Linked DNA regions of Tamandua tetradactyla. The protein of the gene in region 1 purifies or fractionates together with the protein of each later gene. This does not show direct contact. Links are inferred from orthologs where the notes say so. Each region holds a gene or a part of one and is shown on either strand. Other genes may lie near its edges.

Evidence for each region.
Region 2: the proteins of BLNK (region 1) and SYK purify together in Homo sapiens (affinity purification with western blotting; 3 studies listed by BioGRID and IntAct, with this or other methods). This does not show direct contact. The link is inferred for Tamandua tetradactyla from reciprocal best matches to the Homo sapiens genes BLNK and SYK.

The regions. Positions count from the first base shown.
Region 1 is NC_135339.1:57,439,987-57,443,738, forward strand, and holds the start of BLNK (B-cell linker protein), read right to left. Parts: upstream 2,229-3,752; 5' UTR 1,462-2,228; coding exon 1,286-1,461; intron 1-1,285. UniProt on the Homo sapiens protein: Functions as a central linker protein, downstream of the B-cell receptor (BCR), bridging the SYK kinase to a multitude of signaling pathways and regulating biological outcomes of B-cell function and development.
Region 2 is NC_135328.1:8,768,981-8,772,732, reverse strand, and holds the start of SYK (tyrosine-protein kinase SYK), read left to right. Parts: upstream 1-1,216; 5' UTR 1,217-1,323; coding exon 1,324-1,737; intron 1,738-3,752. UniProt on the Homo sapiens protein: Non-receptor tyrosine kinase which mediates signal transduction downstream of a variety of transmembrane receptors including classical immunoreceptors like the B-cell receptor (BCR).

The sequences.
Region 1 (3,752 bases):
ATATTCAAAGTCTTTCTTAACTCATTAAAAGAAGAAAAATTTTAAAAATTTAAAAATTTTTTAAAATTACATTTTTAAAAAGTATTCTAATTTTTAGACTTTTCATAAGTTCTAATATCTACCTTTCCATTATTTGAAATAGGCAAGGTTTATAGAACATTATTAATCTTAATAATAGTTTATGTATTTTAAATAACAAAATAAATCTATATATTTTCAGTAATTTAACTCTTTAAAATATCATTTTAAATTATTTCCTTAATGAAATTTATAAATTATAAATAAAACCAATATCAAGTAACATTTACCAGAACTTCATATCCTTTTATAGAAGCATTTATTACATTTATCTATGAAATAAAATAATCATTTCATACAAAATACATTTCATTTCTTGCAAAAGAAAAGTATCCCAAAACTCATGTTTTGTTATAAAAAAAAAATCCCCTACAAACCATAAAAATAATAAAACCTATAATTTTTCAAAAATAAAAGATTTGTACTTGTGTAGCAATTCTGCTCTTTGTCACCCTAAAGGCTCTCATACCATTTTATTCAATCCTTGTAGCAAACCATCAGGGTGTGCTGGGAAAATGTTACCCTTATTCCTATGATGAGGCCCAGAGAGAGATTGCACAAGGTATTGCAGGGAAAAAAAAATGAAAAAACTGGATATGGTGCAAGGCCTGTTCAAGGACCAGGAAAGCTAAACAAAACAAACAACAAAACCCACAAACCAGCTACTATATTGCCATCGTTTTGTGAAAGAAATTGCATTTTAAATGGGGTTTTAAAATGGTATTTTAATATTTCTAAATGTAGGGAGGTTATAATCTCAGAATAAAGGATTCACTTAAGGAAGGACTGTTGGCCACTGAGCACCGACAGGGACTAGAGGCCAGGGTTTGGATCTTGCTTGCAGCCTGCAGCTGCACAGCGAACTCTAATACTTCAAGGTTCTTATTTTCTCACTTGGCCACAGACCAGCGAGGACTCCGTCACAGTCTTATGTAAAAGAACCAGGGTGCTCGACCGTGCTTCCTCCTTTCAAGGTAGCACCTGCTGCATGGTTTCGAGCGAGAGCTTCACTGCACCTCATTTTGAACCAAAGGGTCATTAAGTTCTCCCAGAATAATGACTATGGCCGCCACATTTTCCCAACCAAGCTGGAAAAAAACATGGCTTGTCAAGTAAAAGCACTTTTGGGGACAATGGACAGAATGTTTGAAATGGAAACTGTCCAAGAAAACTCTTGATCTATGGTTACTGTAAGATGATGACTTACCATGGAATTGAGGGACATTTTGTACAAAAGCTCCATATCATTGAGGAAGCTGGTGTATCGTAAAATTGGCAACTATGGGATTCTAGATCGATTGATCTAGAATTTACAGTCATTGTTACAATCAACAGCAGTGTTCCCTCATTTGAATGGGATTCTATGCGTATCAGAAATAACATCAAAATAAAAGTAATTGCACACCTCTCCCAGTTATATCCCAGAACAAAAAGACAAAAGTCTTTCTAAGATGACCACTATCCCACAAGCAGGGGCACATTTTCACTATTTTATGATGATCGCGTACACTAAGTGAAACTCCTTTATATTTTTTACATATTCTAGTCTAACATCACTACCCAAAGTGACTTCTTAATTATAAATTTACTTAAGATAAAAAAATGAAAATACTCTGTGCTGAAGGCATGGAGAAAATGAACTCTTTGGTGATACAAAATGTTTTAGGGAAATTTGGTGATAGTAATCAAAATTTTAAGGGCATACAACTTTTCATCCAGAAATTTCATTTCAGGAATTTAGCTTACTTGGGTATTGAAAGTGTGTAGCATATTTATCACGGTATTATTTGTGACAGTTAAGCGAAAAAAAAATTAGATTTCTATTATCAAAGTGCCTTCCAAAGCTATGGTACCAATTTGAATCTCCACCCTCCTTAAAAATGCCCACCAATATAAAATTGGTTAAATAGGCCATAATGCATTTACAGCAGACTATTAATCGTGAGTTCAAAAAGGAATATAGTTTTTTTTTACAAAGATAAAAACGCCCATGATACAGCATTAAGTAAAGCAAACCAACAAAGCAAACTAGCAGAACAGTCTGTATAAGATGATACCATCCATGAAGAGAAGGTTTATGTGTATTGGTATGTACTATATCTGTGTCAGTGTGTGTGTGTGTAAATATATATATGCCAAACTCATGATAATATCTGTTTGGGAAGAGTGGGTTAGGGTGGAGGTATGGGGAAACGAGAGGTTTTTACTTCATATAATTCTCAACTCTTTAATTTTTTTTTACCTGGTGAATATGTATTATGTTTCACTAAAAAGAAAAAAAAGAAAAAAGAAAAGAAGCAAACAAAATTCTTACAAAATATTACATCGCTTTTCCTCTTACATTTTGAGTAACAAATGCAGATATGTACATTTCTATTTTCTTTTTTAAAAAAAGGCTTAAGAGGTTTTTGGTGTATAGGACATTTGAGATTCAAGCTTTTCTTCTCCAAGTATCAGCAGAAAATACCACTTTAAGGCAATAGTTGAGAGAACAGAAATCAAAATAGAGCAAACAGCCTGGCACTGTAGAAGCTAAGGACTCTGTTCCTGTAACTTATTTGGATTTTTCCAGGCATGTCCTGGTGGCCCGTAGCTTAATATTTATAGAAGCTGATTTTTCTGCTTTGATGTTCTCTGGGCACCTTGAATAAGCATCCCTCACCTTTCCTGCGGGAGAGGGAAAGGCACAGTGCCCCGGGCACCCCCCCACTCACTCGCCTGTGGTTAACCGGCAGGGACTCAGTCATGAGTGAGAGAGCGTTACAGGCCAAAGATCTTGTAACTCCTCACTCGGGTAACAGAACTTTCTATTCTTCCACTTAGCACTGGTTGACATATTAAAATGGTTTCTATAGTGCCCTGATGTTTAACTTACTTTTTGATTTTGTTCATTATTCCACCTTCGTTGTGCTTGATATCATGGACCATCTTTTGAAGTTGCCTGTAAGAAACAAAATTAAACATGAAATATTAGTAATTATTATACAGTTACGTTATATAACTAGGATGATTTTTTTAAACACTTCTTGAATATAAAATAGAGTGTATTATATTTGATTACGTTGACATCTGTTACTTCAGATGGAAAGAGAAAGCATGGCTGACTGTATAAGGAATGTGGTCCCTGGGCTGTGTCCCATCTGTTGAGCTGTCTGGGCCAGCCTCAGGCTGTGAAGGCAGGAATTCTACCTCACAGATCATCTGTGCTCAGGAGACACGTGAGGCAGAGGTGTCAGTCAGTAGAAGGAGATTACTCTGATTTTAAGGCAGCCATTTAAATTTAGTGGGGAACTAAATGTTAAAGACATTTTTTCAATTGAAAGCTACTTTAGTTAAGTGGCTAGGGTCATCCCATAGAATAACCTAATAAACAACATAAGGGGTAAAAATAAGAAAGACTCAGGAGAGAGAGAAGGAGATGGAGAGGGAGAGAAGGTGGGAAAGGGGGTCAGGGAGGAGGGAGATAGGAGAGGGGAGGAAGGAGAGGAATTTTGGATTTTTCCAGGCATGTCCTGGTGGCCCTTAGCTTAATATTTATAGAAGCTGATTTTTCTGCTTTGATGTTCTCTGGGCACCTTGGATAAATATCCCTCACCTTTCCTGCGGGAGAGGGAAAGGTACAGTGCCCCGCACTGGTCCATAACTTAAGGACAGAACAGGTGTGTAGGAAAACT
Region 2 (3,752 bases), on another chromosome or scaffold:
ACCTTTCCTTCCAAAAGATACACCAATTCACTATTTTTCCAAGGACATCTCTCTCTCTCTCTCTCTCTCTCTCTCTCTCTCTCTCTCTCTCTCTCTCTCTCTCTATATATATATATATATATATATATATATATATATATATACATACATATATTGACAAAAAAGTATATATATATACTTTTTTTGTCAATAGCATTCTTATATTTTAGAACAAATATGGATTCTTCTTTGAAAACAAATCTTGCTGAAAGGTGAATTTTTAGAAACTTGTTGGCCAAAGAGAAATTAGTCGTTGATGGTTTAATGAGAAGCTCAGCAAGAAAATCATTTCCTTGTACTGTCAAGTATAATTAAATCCTCTATTTTATTTGGGGCTCACCCAGAGGCATTATTTGATGATATTGCCTAGAGAAAATTCTAATACTTCTATGAGGCAGGTGTTCTTATGTTTTACAACCACGTGTAATTAACTCACATTGAAAGGCTGTTTTTGCGTCATCTTATGTGTGTGTAGCATGAAAACATGAGGTTTCTCTAGGAACTGGTGGAGTTATCTAGATAATTATCTATTGATAACAACCCCTTTTGGTTAAAATACACACTTCTCTGGCTACTTTTTGGACTAACAATATGTGTCCTGTTTTACATATTCACAATGGAGAGAAAACACTTTCCCTATGAAAAATACAAGAGCCTCCCCTTTTCTCTTCTGAAGAAGACATCCCTTGTGGAGTTTAAATGTGCCTTTGTGAACATTTTTTCCATAGCAGCACCATCGTCAGTTGTGGAAGCTACACTTTTTCTTTAATGTCGATTCGGATGGGAAGTGGCAGATGCCCAGCACAGGGTCTGGCTGCTTCGCTTTGCTGCCTGTCCTAAATCTCAAGAGAAGTAACTGGTTTAAATTCACGCTTGGGCTGTACAGCCGTCTGCCCACCATCAGGGCAGCTGCTGGTCAACCCTGTTTTGCAATAATACTTCTCTTTTCAGCGTGTCTCTTTCTTAAGAATTGTCTACCCCCACCAAAAAAAAAAAATAATTGATTTGGTGACTTTTGTGAACTGCTTTCTTTTTAGGTTAAATGTTCAGGGGGTGGGGGTGGCGGGTTATTTGGAAACTAAAATAATGAAGTTAGCGTGCTGGGGCTGTGCCACCGAGTTGAAAGAGGAAAGAGATTCTGTTCTGAACTGGGAGGATTTGCCTCCGGTTTTAAAGGCGGCAGATGGTGTCCTCGCTGACCAACGCTTTTCTCGCCTCTGTTTTCCCCAGGTGGACGCCCCTGTGCGCGCTCACTCCGGAGCTGCGGGCCGGGAGGTGGCGGTCATGGCCAGCAGCGCGTCCGACGCCGCGGGCCAACTGCCCTTCTTTTTCGGCAACATCACGCGGGAGGAGGCCGAGGATTACCTGGTGCAGGGGGGCATGAGCGACGGGCTGTACCTGCTGCGCCAGAGCCGCAACTACCTGGGCGGGTTTGCGCTGTCGGTGGCGTTCAGCAGGAAGGCTCACCACTACACCATCGAGCGCGAGCTGAACGGCAGCTACGCCATCGCGGGCGGCAGGACGCACGCCAGCCCCGCCGAGCTCTGCCTCTACCACTCCCAGGAGTGCGACGGCCTCATCTGCCTCCTCAAGAAGCCTTGCAACCGGCCGGCCGGGGTGCAGCCCAAGACCGGGCCCTTTGAGGACCTGAAGGAGAACCTCATCCGGGAATACGTGAAGCAGACGTGGAATCTGCAGGTGAGCTTGGAGCCGGTCCTGCCGCTTGGGGCCCGCTTGCTGTGGCATGGCCCGCAGTCGTCCCAGCTTACCTGGACAGCCATGCGCGGGGTCTGAACCCACAACCTTCTCCTTAGTCAACTTCGGTTAGAAATTGACTTGCTCTAAGACAGTCTTTCCTTTTCTCCAGCCCGGTGAAGAGGGTAAGCCTTTTAAGGGCAGTGCTGAGGGTTTCTCCACCAAAGGAAACCGTGGTTACCCCGTGCTAGCTTATCCCTTCTGGAGAAACTTTCAGAGGTATCCCTTGCTTTTTATGTATCATGCAAAGGTCATACTACACATGTCGATGGGCGCTGAATTTTGTAGCATCATCATTTCTCTTGCAGAGCTGTCCACGCCAGCTCACACCTAACCGCATCACCCCTTTTCTGGCCGTCTGTTCCCCGCAAATGTGTACCATCGTTTATTTAGCCAGTACCTGTCGATAGAGGCTCTTGTTGTTTACAAATAATGCTGCCCTAAGATATTTTATACCTGTCTGTCTTGGTTTGCAAGGCTTAAACAATAGGCGTTTACTGGCTCAGGCTTTCAGAGGCCAGAAGTCCAAGGCGTTGGCTAGAAGGCTGCTTTCTCCTCCCAGACTTGGTAGCCTGGTGCTGGCGAATGGTCCTGGGCCTCCCCATCACGTGGCAGTGTCCTCTCCTTTCTCTTCCAGCTTCCAGCTCATCCCGGTGGCATTGTCTCACTATGTCTGAATTTCTCCTGCTAATAAAGGACTCCAGCAGTCCAGCTTAAGACCCAACCTCATTCAATTGGAGCACACCTTAGCTGCAGTAACATTTTGGTGAGCTCTTACCTGCACTGGGTCCACTCCCACACCTATGTGGGTCAACCTGAGGACATGAGTGATCCCAGTTACATAATTCATTCCAGTACTTGGCTTTTAAGCAATCTCTCTGCGGGATAAACTCAGACAGGTTGGCTTTACCAAATCCAAGGATGTGAGTTTCAATTTGACGTATATTGACAAGTTGCTATCCAGAAAGGTCACAGAGCTTTTGACGTTTTACATTCCTACCACATTCTTAATAGTGCCAGGTATCATGAGCCAACAAGTTTGATCAACAGGCTCCTGCTCATACTTAAGTGTTCAGCAGTATTTTCTTGCATGCCCTGGATGCATGCTCAGTGTTAACTTTTGCTGTGTTATTTGATACGTACAGAGTTATGACAGTTTAGACTTTTGAACATTATATGCAGTAACTCTTTTTAGACCTTTCGTATTTTTTGTCTTATATGCAAACTTTCAAATGAATTTTGATATGATGGGCCCTGAATTTCTCATTAGTATTTATTGGATATATCTTAGACCATCCTTATACCTTTTTAAAAATTCAGATAAATTGCACTTATTGAGATATAATTTACATACAGGAAAAATCATTCCTTTGAGGTATACAGCTCTGTGATTTTTGGTAAATACGTAGTATCATGTAACCCCAACCTCAGTTAAGATATTAACAGTCCATTACCCCATCAAGCACTATCCGTCCCCTCCCCCAACCCTGCCTCTGGCACCCACTCATCTGTTTTCTGTCTTTATAGTTTTGACTTTTCCAGAATTTCATATAAATGGAATTACACAGCATCTCGACTTTCAGAGTGGCTTTGCTCTCATGGCATGAGGCACTGGCAATGCATCTGTGCCATCGCACGCTTCAGTGATTCGTTCTTTGAGATGGTTGGGTGGCATTTCATACCCTTTTGCTTTGTTCCTGTACTCCCTTTGTTTTAGATGCTTGTCTGGTATGTAACCTATTGCTGGTTTGGGTTCTGTTCCCAGCTGTGAAGCATGATAAAATTGCCATCCTTACACTCCTTTCCATCTATCCTTCTCCCTTCCATCTCCTAGTTCATTTGGTTACATTTTTATTCTTACATCCACTGGTTCTCTTTATAACTCCAAATAATCCCTTTTCAGTTCCCCTTTTATTATTATAAAGAGTATCTATTTCTCTCCCACAAACAAAAAGGAG